5 linked regions of the Neurospora crassa OR74A genome follow. The protein of the gene in region 3 interacts with the protein of the main gene of each other region in a pairwise test. Links are inferred from orthologs where the notes say so. Each region holds a gene or a part of one and is shown on either strand. Other genes may lie near its edges.

Region 1 (4,222 bases), on a different chromosome or scaffold from region 3:
GAGAATACTAAACTGCAGCAAGATCATCGAATGTGTGTCTTCTAGCTGGCCGTTGAAAACTGTGACAGACAAAATATCTACCATGTCAGACCCAAATAAAATTGGAAGAGCCCCCCTTACGCCCATTGCCATGAAACCCCATATTGTACTTGTTAACCTGTACACCCAAAGAAAAATAAAATAGCAGAGCAAGAACGCTTCGGTTTTGCTTTTCTTTTCTCTTTTTTTCGTCGGAACATCTTCGAAAAACACTCCGTCATTTCCCCACCATCCCTTCTACGCGCCATTCCTATAAACCTGCGCGCCCTGGTTCCTAAACATAATGGTATCCCGCCTCTGCAACATCATCAGCGCCCTATTCAGCGCCACCTCGCTAAACCCTTTACCCTCCACCATTTCCCTGCGCAGGGTCGCCAAGCTGGTGCTCCAGCCGATGGGCAAGCGGCGCTTCAGCTCGGCCTCGACGCGGGACGTCTCCTCGTTCAACTCCCGATTGCTGCCCGTGCTGCCACCTTGGTTGACGGCGTCCATGGTCGAGCACAGGAATAGCCGGATGGCCTCGTCCACGTGCTTCTCCGTCGCGACGGGCGAGAGCGTCAGCTTGGCGAGCGACTCGGTGATGCGCACAATGGCTTCGAGCTGGCGGACCGTGATGGGAATCGAGGAGCGCGCGTTGGCTTCAAGCTCTGAGGCGTGCACTTGCTTGCGGATGGCGACGAAGTGCGAGGAGAGCTTCTCGGCGGCTTCCGGAGAGAGGCGCGGGGCGCAGCGGCTGGAGGAGCGACAATGTCAGTTTTTATGTGTCTAAGGTGGTAGATAGGAGCATAAACAACTTACGATCGGCAATAGCTGATGTACCGCCTCATCTTCTCGACCGGGATCTCTGCCTCAATCCGCTCCTCGACACCACGACCACCCATATGGATACCCATAACGTGCTTGGCGATGCGCTCATCACGGCCGCGCTCGTGCTCATCCTTGACGATGAAGATCATGTCGAAACGCGACAAGATGGTGGTCTGAAAGTCGATGTTCTCGCCCGGGGTCTTCATGTCGTCGTAGCGGCCAAAGATGGGGTTAGCGGCGGCCAAGACCGAAGTTCGAGCATTGAGGATCGTGGTGATGCCGGCCTTGGCGATGGAAATGGTTTGTTGCTCCATAGCTTCGTGTATTGCCACTCTGTCCTCATCGCGCATCTTGTCGAACTCATCGATACAGACGACACCGCCGTCAGCGAGAACCATGGCACCGCCTTCGAGGTAGAACTCGCGCGTGGAAGCGTCACGCTGGACGGAAGCCGTCAAACCGGCGGCGGAGGAACCCTTGCCGGAGGTGTAGATGGCGATAGGAGCGACTTTTTCGACGAACTTGAGCAGTTGTGACTTGGCCGTACCGGGATCACCAAGCATGAGGACGTTGATATCACCACGAAGCCTCATGCCATCTGGAAGGATCTTCTTGGAGCCACCCATGAGTAAACAGAGGATAGCCTTTTTGATATCCTTATTTCCATAGATGGACGGCGCGATGCATTCGGCCATGACATTGTAGAGATCTGGACGACGGCTAAGCTCAAGGAACTCCTGCTCTTCCTCCTCGGAAAAGACAGCCAGACCCTTGGCTGTTTGGTCAATGTCTGTCTGGATACCGACTGCGCGGAGATAGGGTGTGCGAATGGCGACGGCGCCGCTTGTGGACTTCTTGTTGCCTCCACTTTGGTATATAGAAAAAATACCCATGACGGTACACCTTGAGCCGGGCACCACGCGGTTCGTGAGGTAGCGGTCGGCGGAAATCAGGACATGGCGGGGCAGTTCACCGACGGGAACTTGGTCTGGAGCTTCCTGAAGCTTGATAATTTGCTGATCGACGAATCTGGACTTTTCATGTTGTACAAAGTAGGGATCCATTGGGCACTTCTCGCCAGGGTCCCCAGGTGCCCTGATTCTGCCACATGTCCTGGGAAGGGTAGCGCCACTGAAGCCGCCGGATACGTGAACGTGTTGGACGTGGCCGCAGTTGCGGCACTGGACGTGGAGCTCAGTCGCCTTGGACGACATTACCGAGGCACCAATGACGATACCAGGTACCCGGACCAGCCGGGAGATTGTAAGGGAGTCGAGGTTACGGATAGAAACATCTTCGGCGTTGGAGTGTAGAAGCAGTTGGTGGTCGGGCAGGTCTATCTTGGGTTCGTTTGGGAAGACGATTCGGTGTGTGCAGCGCTTCAGAGCGGCCTCGAACAGAGGGATAATCTCGGCGGGTTCGGTGACTAGTCTATGGGCAATTTCTTCATTGAATTTGATCAAGTCGCCAATGTTGACATCGCAGTAGTATTTCTTTAGAAGGGCATTTTCTCGTAGTTGGTCTCTGGAAGGAGTAATGTTAACAGGAAGCTCGACAGAGGACAGGAGTATGCTACACAGAGTACGAACCTGTAGATAAAGCTGTTATCTAGTCGGAAGTCGAGAATGAAAGCCTCGAGCTGGGCGCGAATGTGCTGGTTGCTGTCCTCCTCTGGTACATATGAAGAAGCAGCGCCGGCGTAGGTCCGGGCTGAGAAGACGGACTGATAATCCATAGCTGACGGTGGCTTGGTATGTGATTGTTTTGTTTACTCGCGTGCACTGGCCGTAGATGTTCGCACCGGGAGAATTGTAGAAAATAGCAGAGAAGGGAGGGGTTGTTGGGGGCAGAAAGACAACTAACAGAGGGAGAATCCAAAATGGCAAAACATGTGCGAAAACCGCGACGCGAGAAACATTGATACTGCACACCCAAGACGCGATTTTTGGCAGGGGTTTTAATGGGCACCCCACTTGTAGCTGAATGGCAGGTACCTGACGGCTCAGCAGGCAGGCCCCCTGAAGTGCGGAGGAAAAGGAGTGCTTAAAAGGATATCCAGCTAGGGGGGGTTCACCCTCCAGACACTTTTGCAGCAACCGGTGCAAGACCCAGCTTTGTGGCCCGCTCAAATACATACCACAGTATACTTACTGCGTAGGTAATCATCAGTGGCGGGCGGAGCTTCATTCAACTGCGCTACGTATCCCGAACAAGGGTCCTGTGGGATCCAATGCCCGCTGCGTGGCTTCCGCTGTGAATTGGGGGGACCTTGACATTCGACAGGCAGCTCCGAGTCCCTGACCTCAACACCTGCTCGCGTCGAGACTACAGCTTTGCGCCTCTTCTTGGCCATCTTCTGTGGAAAATACAATCTGGTTCTTGTCTTGTTCTCGTTTCGCTATGATACCCCCGTGACCCTTCGCAGTAACCGCCCATACTCTGGACCACGATAGCCTCAACGCCACCTACCTTGGTTGCTTCCCTTGGCCTGCCGGCCCGCGCCTACAGCTCGATAGACTAATACCGATTACCGAACCCCCTCCCCATCTTCCCACGTCGCCAATCCACCGGCGCATGACCAACGGCCATTTCGTCTTCCCCTGAGCTTAGGCCTAGGACTTCCGGGAGACTTATGAGCCATCATGTTCTCCAACCAGGGTGCTCGCAAGTCGGTCGATAGTCTTTCGCCAATACCCGATGCCGGGCGGTTTGGCGACTTTCCTTTCCACGGGTGCGATGCGCTTTGTCTGTCCATGCCCTTTCCGTAATATACACTAACATCTCCTTGAAGGAGAGGCTCACGCAGTCCGAGCCGCCCGTTCCATTCTCGACGGGATTCGACGGCGGGCTCCATACACTCCATCGGTGGCTCTCTCGACAGTTCCACTGGTACCTGGGGTGACGCCGTCCTAGAGTCCGGTCAGAACGCCATCTCAACCCTGCTCCAACCGCCCATAGTCCGAACCGGCCTCCTTCCCCATACCTCAGCACCCGCTTCCACTGCGCATAAGCCTCCGACTGCTCGAGACATTCCACCTGTCACGCTCACCAATGTCCCTCGCATTGACAATTCCGAATTCACACAATATCTCACCCAAGTCGGCGCGTTATACGAACAATTACGACGGGTTCAGGCAGACGAAGAAGAGGCATCTGGTACTCACAGCAGACGAGGTAGCAAGGCGGACGCAACCTCAGCCGAGGATGGCCACCTACGACCGGGCAAACGATCTGGCGCATCCAGGAGGGCATCCAGCTCATCCATTACGTCCATATCATCGATAGAAGCCCCGGGTCCCGCTCGACGCAGCTCAAGCTACAGGAAAGCGGCATCGCAAGGTCCTCCACCATTATCCACCATTCCCGTGGTATACTT
Region 2 (4,261 bases), on a different chromosome or scaffold from region 3:
GCCGAGGTACTTACTTGTCAGACTACTAGCAGAGATGGAGAAGAAGGTAGATTTGGACTCCGTGGCCACTGCGCGCGCCAACATAGTCTTTCCTGTTCCCGGTGGCCCAAAAAGCAGCATGCCTCTGGCCGGCTCGCGAAGACCCCTAAATAGGTCCGGTCGGAGAAAAGGATAAACTACGGTCTCCCGAAGTGCATTTTTGGCTACCTCGAGGCCGGCTATGTCATTCCAGTGAACTTCATCACCCTGAACGACGATTTCGTTTAGAATCTGTTTTGCAGCATGTTCATCAACCCCTGGAGGAAGACGGCGCAATATCTTTGCCTTTTGCTTGTTCCACTTGGCAGCTTCTGACCTTTGTTGAGCCGCCCCATCGTTGCCTTCAGATTCTTGACTTTCGGAGTTGTGGGCCGGTGTATCGGCAACCAGGGAAACATCCCTCTGCTTCAGTATCTGTCTTAGGTGCTGTCTTGTTGTCGGCCGTCGGGGAGTTCCATATTCAGAATCCTCAGAACTTGACGAAATTGGGACTTGTTCAAGCTTTTTGCCCCTTGCCTTAGCGCTCATCCGAGGTGTATCAACATCCTGTGTCGTTGCCGATCTGCCCGACGCAGGCCTTGCCGTGCTTGTTAGGTAAGAAGTTCGGCTGATGGGCTTCCGTTGGGCCAGCGTTGGATCGGACATCTTTCTGTTCGATTTTCTGGTCGTTGTTGCGCTTCCTTTCGCAGAGTATGCAGTGTCTTCCTCATCTGTGTTCCCCGTCGCAGGCAGAGGCCTCCTCCTTGGTGTCTGTAGCGGAGCTGTTCTTAGCCGAAGTCCTTCCCCCCCTTCCAACGGCGAGCGCTCGTTGTTATCCCTCAAAGTCAATGCGTTGAGTGCACTTGATGCGGCAGCAGCGCTGATGGTGAAGGAGGATTGGCGAGTGTGTGTATGCTCATCAGAACGGCGGGGTGCCGATGATTCCGGAGTAGGCCGTGCATGAGGCGGTTTGGATTGGCTCCGAGGACGACCCATGACCAGTCGCCTGGTATGCGTGTCCCATTGCTGCTGCCGGCCTGCCAACGCTGGACTTTGACGTCGCCTTTCCACTAAGTAGGGAGAGGTTGCGGGCGGTACCGAACTCGTCTGATCAGTGGTGCCAATTCCCCCACTATTACCGCTGGCACTCCCTGACGGACTCGATCTTTCTCTTTTCCCAAGATAGCTCCAGGCAAGCGAGGCTGCCTTACTGGCACCAGGGCGTTCTGAAACCGAGGTTGGAGGTGTCTGGCGATGGCTAGTTCTCTTGTCTCCCAAACGTCCGGTCCGCAGGGTTGTGCGCATGGTATGCTTCTCGGGGCTGCGTGTCCCTGACGATGTTCCCTCCTCGAGCGAAGGCCTTGACGCCGACGGTGGTGACGGTAACACTGGTCGTGTGCATGCAAAGGGAAACTCCCCGCCTGGCGTACGCACCTCGGCAGAAGGCCCAGGTGTAGGCATGGTATGTTCTGAGATGGACCTAGACCCTACAAAGGGTCGCTTGGCGGGAGTTGGTCGGGAAAGGTCTGTATAGGTTACGGCTGGGATTGTTCCGTCACCTATCCAGCCCTTGGGGGGTTCTAAAAGGTTCGGCAACGGTGACAAACGTGACGCGGATGGTGTAGCGTCATGCTCGAGAGATTCGAGGCGCGAAAGACGCAGGGCCTCTAGAAGATCAATTCGTTCCTTGCACTGTACCTCGAGTTGCCGAAGACTGTCCACCAGCGCCTTCTCCGTCTCGGAACGTGGGGTGAAGGCTGGCAAGATTTTGTTTGCTTGCTGGTCATAGATTTGCTCGAGTGCCTGTTTCCAGCATCGCATAGCCTCATCCTCATTGCCCTAGATGACCGCGCAAGATTAGCACTTGGTTACTGACAGATGGGAGAAAAGGGTGACGATCACAGAACGTCATACTGACCTGGCCTTCGTAATAGACAGCAGTGGAGCATGTCAGGTAGCTTTCATCATATGTCTTTTGCAAAACTGAAGCGGCTGATCTGTTGCGCAGCATCGTAAGAAGTAAGACGTATACACATCACGGAATGTCTGTGTGCACTTTTCAAAAGGGCGTAGCGGACTTTCGCTCTCCAAGGGCGGCCTAGGTAGACGGGAGTGTCCGGTCAAGAACAGGATCTCAGCAGATGCTGTGGATCGGCCTGTACCCTACAGCTCTACGCGCACAGACGGCATCGCCGTTGCGAAGGATGTTGGAAAATCGGGCGGTCGCAAAACGTCCCGAAGGCAGTTGCCGAATGGAAGAACAGGTCTAACGAAGGGCCCCCAAGGAAGGCTCAGGTCCACGTTTCTTGAGGCGTAGAGGTACCAGCGCGCTTCTGTAGGCCAACCGGAATCCGGAGAGGAGACGTATTGGCGGTGCAACGGGACGTTGACGCAATCAATGTGCGTGGTTGATTCGCGACCAAGACGTGCCAACTAATTGAGTGTCTTGAGGTTAGTATCAAGGTTTTGTATACCAGGTAGGTATCCAGGATCTAAGCTTGCACACCAGTAGACCTACATATAGGATCGATGGTATCTTTGTTTAAGTGTAGTTATCGATGTTGCCTTATGAACGTTGTTGCAACCGCCTGAATGGGACCTACTAGCTCCCTAGCTGAAGACGTAGTGGGGCAATTGGGGCGGGAAGGCGGGGACCTGGCAGCCCGACAGTGGCAGGTACCCAGACCAGGCCTTTCTCGCCTTTTTCGTCTGTTTGTCTGCCTTGGCCCGTTCCACCTGTTTGTTACCTTTTGGCCTCTGGATAGTAACGAACAGGCCCAACCTGAGGGGGAGGCCGATAGCACGACTTGTATCGTTCATCTGAGCTTCCATCGGGACCATCAGCATCCCGTCAGGCGCGGCCCGAAAATGACGTTGATATGCGATATGTACCTATTCTTGGGCATCGGAAATCGGGACGGCCGAATGGGATGCCCCGCACCGCCCAATAGGTATTCAGCAGCTTCCAGATCCTCCTCGTCCGCGGCTCCGCGCTTGAGGGGACTCACAGGGCTGTCGGGATTCAAGCTCAGTCTCATCGCATGCAAGAGTGCTGTCAGTCTTGTATTTCCCTGTAAAGGTACCCAAGTTTGTCACTACTTGAGGGCCGTTTTTCAGTCATACGCCGACGACCACACCAGTGTACACGTACACACTCGACCGGGGTTCTCGGCTCCCGCTACTTCCCAAGGTTTACCTTACCCAGCAGTCCACTATGGTGAGATTTATATGAGATTGAAACTATTTTGACGAGAACATGGCAGACCTGGGTCCCGTCAGTAAAAACCATAGCTGGCTTCTCCTGCCTTCGCCGTTTCGCTCACGCTACGACAATAGCACGCGGATCTCGCTCGATGTCCTTGGGAACAGCGCCCGAAAACTTTGGGAATGTTCTTCGTCGCCGTCCTCCTCAACTCTCCTTTGCTCCTCCAATTCGTCAGCCGACAGCAACATCTCCTCCACATGTTCAAAATCCACGCAGAATCTTTCGGCTGCCTCCTCAATCACACTGCTCGCCAGCTTGGAATCCTGCAGATTCTTGAGCTTTTCCGTTGCATCAATCAGCGCCGATGGCAAGAAATCGTCCAGCTTCTGACTTGACTGTCGCAGTGCTTCAGGTTGAACCTCCTCTAGTGTCGCAACCTTTCCAACATCATCCTTCTTCCGTATGTCTAGCCCATCCAGCGCTTCAATGAGGGAATCTAAACCGGACTCGGCCCTAAACAGCTCGTACTGTGCAATAACCAACCGAGCCTTTTCCTCCTCAATTTTGGTCTGTATATCTGCAGCATATTTGCGAACAAAAGTGAAGCCGGAGAGCGTTGTCCGCGCAGCCACGAAGCAGTTGATCAGGAAGATGGATTTGGACGGCGGGGTGGCATGGTTGGCCATATTGATGCAGCCAGCCATGAATGGGTCGAATGCCTCAGCCATGATGGACGCGAACTCTGCTTCTGGATCATCACCCGATGAGCTTAGTGACGTTTCGTACGTTTTCATGATTGCCGATAGCTGTTCCAACGCATCCGTAAGGAAGTCGGGAGGCCGAAGGTCTGGTGGAGTGTGCTGGAACTCAGTTTGGAGAGTGGCGACGTGGTCCCGAGCCAGAGATCGGAATTGGCGCAATGCTTCCGTTTCGAGGGTACCCATCGCTTCAACGAGAATCGACGCCGGGCCCACCAACCTGGAGAAGGTGCTCTTATAAAAGTTGATGAGGTTCGCAAGTTTGAAGGCCAGAATGGTC
Region 3 (3,163 bases):
GTAGCCTTCTTTCTCTGTTCCATCTTGAGCCGTAGCAGGCTCGCTTTGGGGCAGCTAACTGTTGACGCGCTTTCGCTGTTCTTTTCGTAAAACGCGTTGCAACACTCGTAGAGTGCGTCTATCTGTTTCTGGCATTTGCTCTCATCAAATCCGTTTCTGGTCAGGCAATCTGCGGCGTGAAGTGAGGTCAGCAAACTGCGAGTTCTGAACGACACAGGAGTCAAGCTGGTCATCCTCACTTTGTATCGCGCACTGCAGGCACGAAAGAACCGCATGTCAGCACACCACGCGTGCAAGCCGTAACAAAAGAACAAGGGAAACATGGAACAAACCGCGCGTGGATGGCATGGCGGACTGGCTGCGAGGTCGTCTTGCAATGTCTAACAAAGCAACATGAACGGTCAGCAGTGCCTCAGGGGAGAGCCGAGACATTCTGTAAGGGGAGACCTGAAGCTGGTACTGCGCCTAAACCCACCATGGTATCGAAATTTGAACGGTCGAGAACTCCGTCTGGTTGGAAGCTGGATCGCGAAGAAGTCAAGAACTGGCAGTTAGACGTACCCTTTGCTCAGGTGTTCATTAAATGGAAGGTAAAAGCCAGAGCTTCGAGTGGGACTCTACGCTCGAGGATCTCCCTCCTGCAAGTTTGGAATCCCCACAACCTAAACAATCCCGGTGCTTCGGTACCCCATTCTCCAGTCCAGTTGCCGCGCCTATCAGTAAAGGAAAACGGGTGGATGATGTCAGGAACTCTCCGGATCGAAAACACTTATCGGTGACCACCACTGCGTCAACCTATCTGTACCATTCTTCTACCAGCCTCACTACAACCTAACGCTGGAACAGGCAGTTAACCGCGGACTAGGACTACAAGGAACTGTTCATTACTATAGGGCTTGTGCGACGCAAGGTCGGGTGGTCTGCAAAGATGAGCGAAAGATTGGTATTCGAATGGTTGACCTAGAAGTAGTGCCAAGTGGCGGACAGTGAAATACTTGGGCACCTAGTTCTGTGGGCTTGCAATTCGGTGTATGAACACCTTCACGAATTGGCCTTCCTCGGCCCTTTCGTCTCATGTTCACCTTTTGGACCAGGTACGGGTATTATACGCATGTGTCGCATTTCAGTAGAGCCTTAAGGAGCGCAACTTACCACAAAAGTTGGCCAGGTTGAGAGGAGGCATCAAGGTTTCGTACAAATATTGGTGTTTCAAGGCTGGCCCCACCTGAACTTTGCGTCTGCTGCAGTCTTACAAACCGCCCTCCAGCCGTCGTTTACTGCATTCGCCGCAACCACGCTTCCACCTCAAAAGCACGACTTGACCCGGTGCACCTCGCCTTCCACTTCTCTAAATTCTCACGGACCTACTTGACTCGACGCTTCCCAAGACCAGAAGTCTGCCACAGCGTCTTTCAATACGCCTATCTACTGCAGTAAGACAATCCGCTTCTCCTCTCGAATTTTGCTGTTCCTCCACCAATTTCTGCTCCATCTCGTTGTGCGACAACACAGGCAGGACGAGACTCTCCGGCGCGTTGACACGCGCGCAATTTCTGACTTCCATCGCAGCCTGGAACTCTAGCATTTCCGAACATCGACACTTCAAACTCGGCCCTTCCAGTTTTCATTGACGAAATTTCTTTGCGACTAGACTTCTGCCTAGCATCTCCAACTCCCAAGTCATCAACATGGCGGACAACGCTGAGAACGGAAGTGGAAACGCTGGCTCCGATGCCGCCGCCCCCGCCGTCGAGCACCTTAATATCAAGGTGACGGATAACAACAACGAGGTCTTTTTCAAGATCAAGCGCAGCACCAAGCTCGAGAAGCTCATGACGGCGTTCTGCGAGCGTCAGGGCAAGACGCTGGCTTCGGTTAGGTTCCTCTTCGAGGGTCAGCGCGTACAGCCCACGGACACCCCGGACACTGTAAGTGAAGTCTGGCATGCACCTAACATCTGTGTTGATGTTGCTGCTAGCCCGGGAACACCATGGTAGACGAAGCACCCGAGCACGCCAGAAATATGTTTGCTAACCAGGTCCATTGCTACCATAATATAGCTCGAGATGCAGGACGGTGATTGCCTGGAAGTTCACCAAGAGCAGGTCGGCGGCTGGTAGATAAAAGGCGATCCTATACTACAACTACAAGGAGATGGGAGAAAGAAAAAGGCAACAAAAAAAAATACAAAAAAGACAAAATTACAACCGGCCATATGCATAGTAGCAAGCGGAACGACAACCGGCGACTTGATCACCAGAAGATAGCTCGCGAGTGGTATCCGATTCTATAACAGGACAGGGACTGGGTGGGAGTTTCGGAATGTGACAGCAGGATTGGACACGGGGTTACGGAGAACATCACAGCTTTTGCCATTGTCACTGGACGCACGCACTTTTTCTACTTTTGTTCCTATTCGCCGCATAGGTGATGCCTAGGAGAACCGGAGTTCGGAGGGTGCTATCATTGGGGTCATAGGGCGGAGGGGTATCGAGGAACATTGATTTGATTCTATTTATACCATACTTTGACGGGACGCCAACTGGCTTTGCCGGCATCTTATCTTCTGTTTGAAGCGTAAACACGGCATCTTTCCAAATGGCCTTCTGCCCCCTTTCTTCCCCCCTTTTTTCCAGTCCCAGATGTTGTAACAATACTGCGAGTGCTCGTTTATGATGCCATGCACATTCTCGAGCGCTGTCGAGTGTTTATTATCCTAGGAATTCAAGGACTCACATTGTTGTATCTGTCCCCGCTCAGCCAGTGAACCCGTTGCAGTGACATATTCGTAGACAGAGCCTTTACTCTCCTCTACCATCATCTCCAATTTGCCCAGCTTCGATCGTCGTTCCCGAGCGCTGTGGGATATCGTCAACTCCTTGCTTATCTTCCAAGGCTGATTTAACCATGACGTCCATAATGCCTATCAGGTAGGCTACGCTGACAAGTCCAAGGCAACCCCGAATAACCACACCATGACATCCTAGTTTCGTGTGTTGATGTGTTATTATTATAATATTGTTTGTATCTCGATACTCGTACATATGAACCCCTAAACACTATTGAGTAAAAGAAAATGTAGAGCAACTTGAACATCCTGATTCCAATGCTATGCAGAAGAAAAAAAAAAGGAAGAAAAAAAAAAACACCCTTACAATGCTTT
Region 4 (3,686 bases), on a different chromosome or scaffold from region 3:
GGGACATCATCGGCTTCGTCATCAGCTTCGACGTCGGCTTCCGGCGTATCGGGCCTGATCTTGGGCGTCCATGACGAGTTGTTCGCGGGCGGCGCGAGGACGAAGGGATTAGGTGTCACACCCTTGGGCGTCGCTGAGAAGATGCTGGCCAAGGGCTGCTGTGGGTTAGAACAAAATCAATCAATCAATCAATCACTCTTGGTCGCCCGTCGCAGAAGAATGATGGACGCTGTCTGGATGCTTACCACTCTCACTTCGGTATTGGGCCCTTTGCGAATTGTCCGCGGTGTCTTGCCTCGTGGTCGTGCTGGCGTTTTGAAGATTTCGGCAATGTTCCTGTTCCTGGTCAGCGAGACAAAGAGAGGGAAATAAAACAAAGACAACGCACATTTGGTTCTCGCCCAAGAAAATGTCCTCCATGTGCTCGTTCAGCCAGTCCATCTCATTGCGCGCCGCATACGAGAACTCTTCGACTTCCTCCTCTGCCACCTTGAGCGCCGATGCGCGCTCTTCTGCAACCCACGCTGCCGAGCCGACGGGCAGACGTGGTGCCTTGCGCATCGCCATTTTTGCTGTTTGTTTACTTTGGCGCCAAAAGTCAACAAACCGGATTTGGGGATGTGGGGAAAGCTCTAAAAAAAAAAAAAACCCCCAAGCAATGATCGGAAAAGAAAGGAATGGCAACAAGTGAGATGTTCAAAGCATTGGTATGATTAGTTGGTCAAAGAAAGGGAGGGAGGTGGGCGACGAGGCTGGCGATGTGGTATAATGGTGGTTGTCGGAGGGATGACGGGATTGCGTCGATCGAGTCAAAGCAACAAAGAGAAAGTCAAAGTCAAACAAACCAAGTAAAAAGCGAGGGATCGGAGACCTGACCTGACCTGACCTGGGATGGAGTTCCTGTTGCCGGAGCAAATTCCCTTGTCTTGGTTTCAATTGTTAGTACCCAATCCGCTCCAGTCTTTGTTTTGGTTGATGCCCAAAAGGGAATAGTCTGGGCTGAGGGGAGCGAAGAGGTGGGGCTTCTGTTTCCACTGCACTGTTGCAGCGCTTTTGTGCCTGGAAACTGAAGGCCCCAGAACACACCCCCGCTGCACGCCTTCCCGTCGCCAATTCACGTGCAGGCCCTGTCATTACCGTATCGTGGGCACAATCAATACCGTCATGGAGAGATCAAAGGTCTGCAAGTAAGAGGTTGGCCACAAAGAGCTGTAAATGTTGAATAATGGCAGTGCAGATGTTCAGAGAGCCATGTTTAACTTGAAACAAAAACACCAACTGAAAGAGCAATTCCCAGGGAAAAGATCCCGAGTGCTAGATACCCGGGTCACTCTTCGGTATTCTTGCTGACCCTCGGCCAGTTTGTGTAAATACAGTGTAATGGAATTCTCCTCCTCGACAAAGTCGCGACCAGTCTCGTCCGACTTGCAGACATCGCGTCTCACATCTTCCGTCTCTTCTACAATACTACTTCCAGGCTTCCAGGTAGAACGAAGGCAGCCATCACCACCAACAAAGTACTCGGATACCCTTCAGTACAACCGACATTATCATGGACGTCTTTGGCGATGAAGCCTTCAACGTCCCCGACTCGACCGACTGGCTGGGCACGCCCCTCGCATGCCTGATGCCCGTCGAACAGGCTTTCCGCTGTCACGTATGCAAGGACTTTTACGACTCTCCCATGCTCACATCCTGCAATCACACCTTTTGCTCCTTGTGCATCCGAAGATGTCTGTCCGTCGACAGCAAGTGCCCGCTCTGTCGCGCCACCGACCAGGAATCCAAGCTCAGAGGCAACTGGGCTTTGCGCGAAGCCGTAGAAGCCTTCAAGAACTCCCGCAAAGTCCTTCTCGAGTTTGCTAGGACACCACCGACCATTCAGGCGATACTGCCAGACCAAGCAGGCCCCAGTTCGCCATCAAAACGAAAGGCGACCGAAATGGAGGGGCCAAAAGAGGAGGACCCAGAAAGCAAGAGGCCGAGGAGGTCAACCAGATCAACAAGAGCCCGAGCCGCCGAGTTGACAGCGGCAATACTACAAGAAGAGCAAGACACCACACCTTCAGCCGACCCGGATTACGTCGACCAACCACCCGGTTCGTTTCCCTCCTCCCGCTCCTCGTGGGTTGCTTCTATCATCATCATCATCACTGACCTCCCACCAGACGACGGCCTAGTAGCCTGCCCCATCTGCCTCACCCGCATGAAGGAACAGCAAGTCGACCGCCACCTCGACACCTCTTGTCCCGGTTCTCCCCAGGCCGCATCCAAACGACGACCGATCCCCGCTCAAACACCACAGCCATCGACCTTTCCATCCTTCAACACCCGCCTCACATCTCAAACCAACCAAAAACCACCCGAACGCCTCCCCGCCCTAGCCTACTCCATGCTGCGCGACACCGCCCTGCGCAAGAAACTCTCCGAACTCGGCCTCTCCACCCACGGTTCTCGCCAGCTCTTGGAGAAGCGCCACAAGGAGTGGATCACGCTTTGGAACGCCAACTGCGACTCTTCGCGACCCAAAAAGCGGTCCGAGTTACTTCGCGATCTAGACGAATGGGAACGGACAGTAGGGAATCCCGGCACAGCAGCAGGAGGAGGAGGGGGGCAGCAGGGACTCGGACTCATGGCGAGGGCGCAAGCTACTGGAGCGCAGATCAAGGACAAGGAGTTCGATGGCAAAGCTTGGGCAACTCGGTATGGAGGGAGTTTTGGGGATTTGATCAAGCAGGCCCGGCAGGGGATTAAGAGGCAGACTTTGGATGGTAATGGGGAGAAGGCGGATACCAAGGGTGGGGGTGGGGGTGAGGATGTTGGCCCAGCTGAACTTCCGACACTACAAGCGAGAGAGGGGGAAAGCAGTGCAGCGCCAACACGGATGGATATTGTCCCGCCATCAAGTCCACCACGACCGGGGCAGGTGGATGACGCGGATACAGAACACGACGGGCAAGCTCCTGGAAAGGATGCTATAGCAGAGGATACCGCCATGAGGGAACAAGTCATTCCCGGGACTCCAGACAAGGAACGGCAGTGGGAGACGTCACAGCAGCAGCAGCCACCAATACCTGGGGATGCTCAACTGAGTGGGATGAAGAAGCCAAATCCAGAGACATGTTAAGGCCGATGGATATATTATGACAGGCACTCTTTTCTCCTACTTTACTAATTTACCCTGTGTTCTGTATGACATTTGTAGTCCATCCGGACTAGACCCACTTAACCTCTACACTAAAACCCACCCCACCCCCAGAAGACCCACATTTCTGTGGGCCGGGTCCGCTGAAGGATGTCGACGGGGGGTAAAAGTGATAGAGACTACTTACCACAGGAACCTAGTGACACCTACCCCCAACGTAAACATCGCCCCCAGGATACGACTCCCCCTTCACCCCGCCTCTCAACTCCTCTCCCATGCCCGCCCCCTTCAAAATTCCCTCCTGCCGCTTCACCTCCCTCACCACCCTCTCCGGATACAAGACCAAAAACCCCGCCATCACCACCCCCATCGGCACCCCATCAAACACATAGACAAACCACTCATGACTTGCCACCACCCCGTCCGTTCCCCCCAAATACTCGGCCCCGCGCACCACACTCCTGACAACCAACATAGCCCCCGCCACCTCCATCACACCAAAATACCACAGCCATCTCACCCCAGGGTCCATCAGCATTGC
Region 5 (3,491 bases), about 750 kb from region 3:
TGGAGAGTGCCTCATCAGGGGCAATCCCCCCACCCATCCCACGAGACCAGAGGCATGATTACCCTCGTCGCCACGGCTTGCGGGTTCCCCATGCTTTGAACGAAGATACCCTCCGCAGACTCGAAGGCCAAGACGGAGGAGCACAGCCGCCACAAAGACCAGCAGTCCATGACATCTATGTGCCGACCAGAAACTCCCAACGACAACAAGAGGCCCGGGATGGGCACATTGGTGGTCCTACCAGGCGAGACCAGCAAATCACTGATTCTAAATCAGGCGACTCCTACGCTGATTCTGCCCATCAGCGGTTACCGAGAAGCGACAGTGGAAGATCCTATAACTCATCCAGCGGCGGCGAAGGAGGGGAAAGACTGTATGAGCCAAGAGGAGCTGAAAGAAGAGATGTCGCCGTCGGTGATCCCTTTGGCACTCCCTCCTTGCAGGTGATATATCAGCAGCACAGCAGGAGGATACGAAGCCCATGATAATCACTGCCCCTGAGCCGACCTTGGGGCCTAGGAATTTGCATTTTACACCTAACAACAGATCTGCTGCTCGGAGAGTCGATGACGGGTTTTGACATCCTACCTGTGGGAAGGCTTGGAACACCGGGTATAGAGCCCAGGATAAACCATGACGCATCTTAACAGTCCGCAAGGGGGGGGAGGGAAGATGGTGAGGTAATTAGCCAGGGTAGTCGTGTGTCTGGGTATGGATGGAGGTAGTGAGTGAGGAGCATACATCGGCCTCTCCAAAAGTTGCATTGTTGGGCCATTCTTGCGGTTTTCTTTTGTGGGTGTTCCCTGAGATTTGTTCAAATGGGACACAGGCGGCAGACGTCGTTAAATGACTGTGATACTTGGTCCTAGAAACCGAGGTGGCAAAAACTCGGAAGAGGCGGCCGCGTCGAGAACCTAATGAGCAAGAGTTGTTGTCTCCTCTTTGGATAGGGTGTTCTCGGACAGAGGGCAGTAGGAATAAAATAGCATGAAAACTGTATCTCTGTATCGGTGTACGCCGTAAATACGAAGACGCCTGTGACAATGTTGACGGGGAGTACCATAGTGTTTGTGGTGTACGGAATTGGCATGAAGTGACAAACCCCCAGGGGTGACCGTTCGGTTCGTTGTAGCGGACCCCACAGGGGAACCATCCTGTCGCCTCCGTCATTCCCGTCTGGGCTCCACTGAATCTAGGCATCCGGCGGGGCCAATGGTGTCTAGTAGGTACCTTATTAGTATCCCGCATGCTGGGCTGGATTGGTCATCCAGGTCACATGTTAACGTGTCGCACTTCCCCAATTTGTAGGACGCGGGTCGCGCTCTTGCCTGCTGTTTTCGCCTCTGTCAACATTTGCGTATCCTTGGCTCCAGTCCCGCTCGCTTTTTTTTCTTCTTGCGCCTTTCTGTCTTGCTTTTCTGTGGCCATATCCAAGACGTTTTCGCTCGCTGCTGGTCATACATACCATCACTAAACGTAAAGAAACCCCGAAATTGTTGCACCGAAGAGCACAACAAATAGCACGATGTCGAACAACGAGGAGTACGATGAGTCTGCCAACATGGAGGACGACAGCGGGATACCAAACCCAGGCGCCCCAACACCACTTTCTGCTCTAGAGGTACGGATCACTTTCTTTGATGGATCCATCCGGATTGCAAACAACCAACTGACTTGCCTAGGGTGTTGCCGGACTTACCAAGCGAGACATTCAGCTGATTGTTGATGGAGGCTTCAACACCGTTGAATCTGTTGCCTATACCCCCCGGAGGGTACTGGAGCAGATCAAAGGTATTTCGGAGCAAAAGGCAGGGAAAATCCTGGCAGAAGGTCAGTAGCCAGCATTTGACATTCCTAGAGGTTCCATTTTGGGAGTGCATGATTACTGACACTATCATCAAGCCTCTAAACTTGTGCCTATGGGTTTTACTACTGCGACGGAGATGCACCAGCGCCGCAGCGAACTGATTTCCATCACGACAGGCTCCAAAAATCTGGATACACTATTGGCTGGTGGTATCGAGACCGGCAGTGTCACCGAAATCTTTGGAGAGTTCAGAACAGGAAAGTCGCAGATCTGCCATACTCTTGCGGTAACATGCCAGCTCCCATTTGACATGGGGGGTGGTGAGGGAAAATGTCTCTACATCGACACTGAAGGTACCTTCCGGCCTGTGCGTCTCCTAGCAGTGGCCAACCGATACGGTCTCTCAGGCGAAGAAGTTCTTGACAACGTTGCGTACGCAAGAGCCTACAATTCGGACCATCAGCTGCAGCTCTTGAACCAGGCCGCAGCCATGATGTGCGAGACCCGCTTCAGTCTGTTGATTGTCGACTCCGCGACCTCGCTCTACAGAACGGACTTCTTGGGTCGTGGCGAACTCAGTTCCCGCCAAACCCATCTCGCAAAGTTTATGCGCACACTCCAGCGCCTTGCCGACGAGTTTGGTATTGCGGTGGTGATCACCAATCAGGTCGTGGCGCAGGTTGATGGTGGTCCGTCTGCCATGTTTAATCCAGACCCCAAAAAACCAATTGGTGGCAACATCATTGCGCACGCCAGTACTACTCGCATCAGCCTGAAGAAGGGTCGCGGAGAGACCAGAATCGCAAAGATCTACGACAGCCCATGTTTACCAGAGAGCGACTGCTTGTTTGCCATCAACGAGGACGGCATTGGTGATCCTAGCCCGAAGGATATGGAGAAGATGAATCAGTAGTTTGCAGTGGGGATGGCGACAGCAAATCAACACGAAATTCATACAACAATCTAGGGACGCAAGGGGCTGCTGATTTGACGGTATAAGGATAATGTGTGTTTTTGATGGGCATAGCGCGTTTTTATTGTTAGCATGGGAGGGCAGCCTGGCGTCACACTTGTCTGGTATGACTGGTAAAACTTGGGAGTTGGTAGAGTTATCAATAACTACGGTACACTGTTTTTTTTTTCTAATACAATCGACGAAGTGAAGCCGTCAAAGTCATCTCGCCAACTGATCATTTGACCTGTGCAGAAGCAGCGTCTCGATGCTGAGGGCAAGTGTCACAGGTTTGATCATCCAAAGACCTCACCACCGAAGCTGAAGCTCTCGTTAACGTGAAGGAAATTTCATTGAAATCCAAGTTGCTGTCGTCCATACTCGTGATGCAACAGGCCATGCACCACATAATCTTCGAGGGAATGTGTCAGGACAAAAGGTACGCTCTGTGACTTGAAGTTACAGATTAAGGGCTATCATCCATCTAGCGTTGTTAATAAAATCGCGGATTTCAAAGGCTATTGCTTCCTTCTTGATGTGACGTACCACCTTGCAGTGTGTCCTATTCGCATAGTCTCTCACTAGCGCGGGATACTTGGGCTTAGCACCGAGTTTCCCCACCAACCACGCCAGCGATTGACTGACCCGCTGCAACTGCTACCGACGCTTGCAGCGTTGCGCTGTGCTTGGGAACTTGAACAGTTGAACTTCTGCTGCAGTGGGCGGCCAGAA

What was found.
Region 1: the proteins of NCU09813 (region 3) and NCU01171 interact in binary tests that used the Saccharomyces cerevisiae proteins (3 or more experiments, as listed by UniProt). The link is inferred for Neurospora crassa OR74A from reciprocal best matches to the Saccharomyces cerevisiae genes SMT3 and MCM5.
Region 2: the proteins of NCU09813 (region 3) and NCU02420 interact in a two-hybrid assay, tested with the Saccharomyces cerevisiae proteins (2 studies listed by BioGRID). The link is inferred for Neurospora crassa OR74A from reciprocal best matches to the Saccharomyces cerevisiae genes SMT3 and SAP1.
Region 4: the proteins of NCU09813 (region 3) and uvs-2 interact in a two-hybrid assay, tested with the Saccharomyces cerevisiae proteins (2 studies listed by BioGRID). The link is inferred for Neurospora crassa OR74A from reciprocal best matches to the Saccharomyces cerevisiae genes SMT3 and RAD18.
Region 5: the proteins of NCU09813 (region 3) and mei-3 interact in a two-hybrid assay, tested with the Saccharomyces cerevisiae proteins (2 studies listed by BioGRID). The link is inferred for Neurospora crassa OR74A from reciprocal best matches to the Saccharomyces cerevisiae genes SMT3 and RAD51.

What each region holds. Positions count from the first base shown.
Region 1 is NC_026505.1:3,119,120-3,123,341, forward strand, and holds the start of NCU01171 (DNA replication licensing factor mcm5), read right to left. Parts: upstream 2,801-4,222; 5' UTR 2,582-2,800; coding exon 2,436-2,581; intron 2,371-2,435; coding exon 838-2,370; intron 773-837; coding exon 277-772; 3' UTR 1-276. Other genes in the region: NCU01172 (GARP complex component), read left to right, coding at 3,489-3,577, 3,638-4,222. UniProt on the Saccharomyces cerevisiae protein: Acts as a component of the MCM2-7 complex (MCM complex) which is the putative replicative helicase essential for 'once per cell cycle' DNA replication initiation and elongation in eukaryotic cells.
Region 2 is NC_026507.1:2,554,564-2,558,824, reverse strand, and holds the start of NCU02420 (AAA family ATPase), read right to left. Parts: upstream 2,801-4,261; 5' UTR 2,537-2,800; intron 2,528-2,536; exon of another isoform or gene 2,452-2,527; 5' UTR 2,030-2,451; coding exon 1,937-2,029; intron 1,858-1,936; coding exon 1-1,857. Other genes in the region: NCU02421 (hypothetical protein), read right to left, coding at 3,343-4,261.
Region 3 is NC_026501.1:4,134,519-4,137,681, reverse strand, and holds NCU09813 (SMT3, variant 2), read left to right. Parts: upstream 1-1,246; 5' UTR 1,247-1,433; exon of another isoform or gene 1,434-1,651; 5' UTR 1,652-1,688; coding exon 1,689-1,928; intron 1,929-2,060; coding exon 2,061-2,120; 3' UTR 2,121-2,663; downstream 2,664-3,163. Other genes in the region: NCU16378 (DUF1903 domain-containing protein), read right to left, coding at 1-169, 240-252, 333-380, 476-478. UniProt on the Saccharomyces cerevisiae protein: Not known; suppressor of MIF2 mutations.
Region 4 is NC_026504.1:5,740,608-5,744,293, forward strand, and holds uvs-2 (postreplication repair E3 ubiquitin-protein ligase rad-18), read left to right. Parts: upstream 1-1,376; 5' UTR 1,377-1,552; coding exon 1,553-2,099; intron 2,100-2,168; coding exon 2,169-3,127; 3' UTR 3,128-3,186; downstream 3,187-3,686. Other genes in the region: NCU05211 (hypothetical protein), read right to left, coding at 1-155, 246-336, 389-567; NCU05209 (hypothetical protein), read right to left, coding at 3,342-3,686. UniProt on the Saccharomyces cerevisiae protein: E3 RING-finger protein, member of the UBC2/RAD6 epistasis group. Associates to the E2 ubiquitin conjugating enzyme UBC2/RAD6 to form the UBC2-RAD18 ubiquitin ligase complex involved in postreplicative repair (PRR) of damaged DNA.
Region 5 is NC_026501.1:3,388,809-3,392,299, forward strand, and holds mei-3 (MEI3), read left to right. Parts: upstream 1-1,307; 5' UTR 1,308-1,525; coding exon 1,526-1,621; intron 1,622-1,682; coding exon 1,683-1,830; intron 1,831-1,902; coding exon 1,903-2,720; 3' UTR 2,721-2,991; downstream 2,992-3,491. Other genes in the region: NCU02740 (hypothetical protein), read left to right, coding at 1-485. UniProt on the Saccharomyces cerevisiae protein: Required both for recombination and for the repair of DNA damage caused by X-rays. Its function may be modulated by interaction with other repair proteins. RAD52 interacts directly with RAD51, via its C-terminus.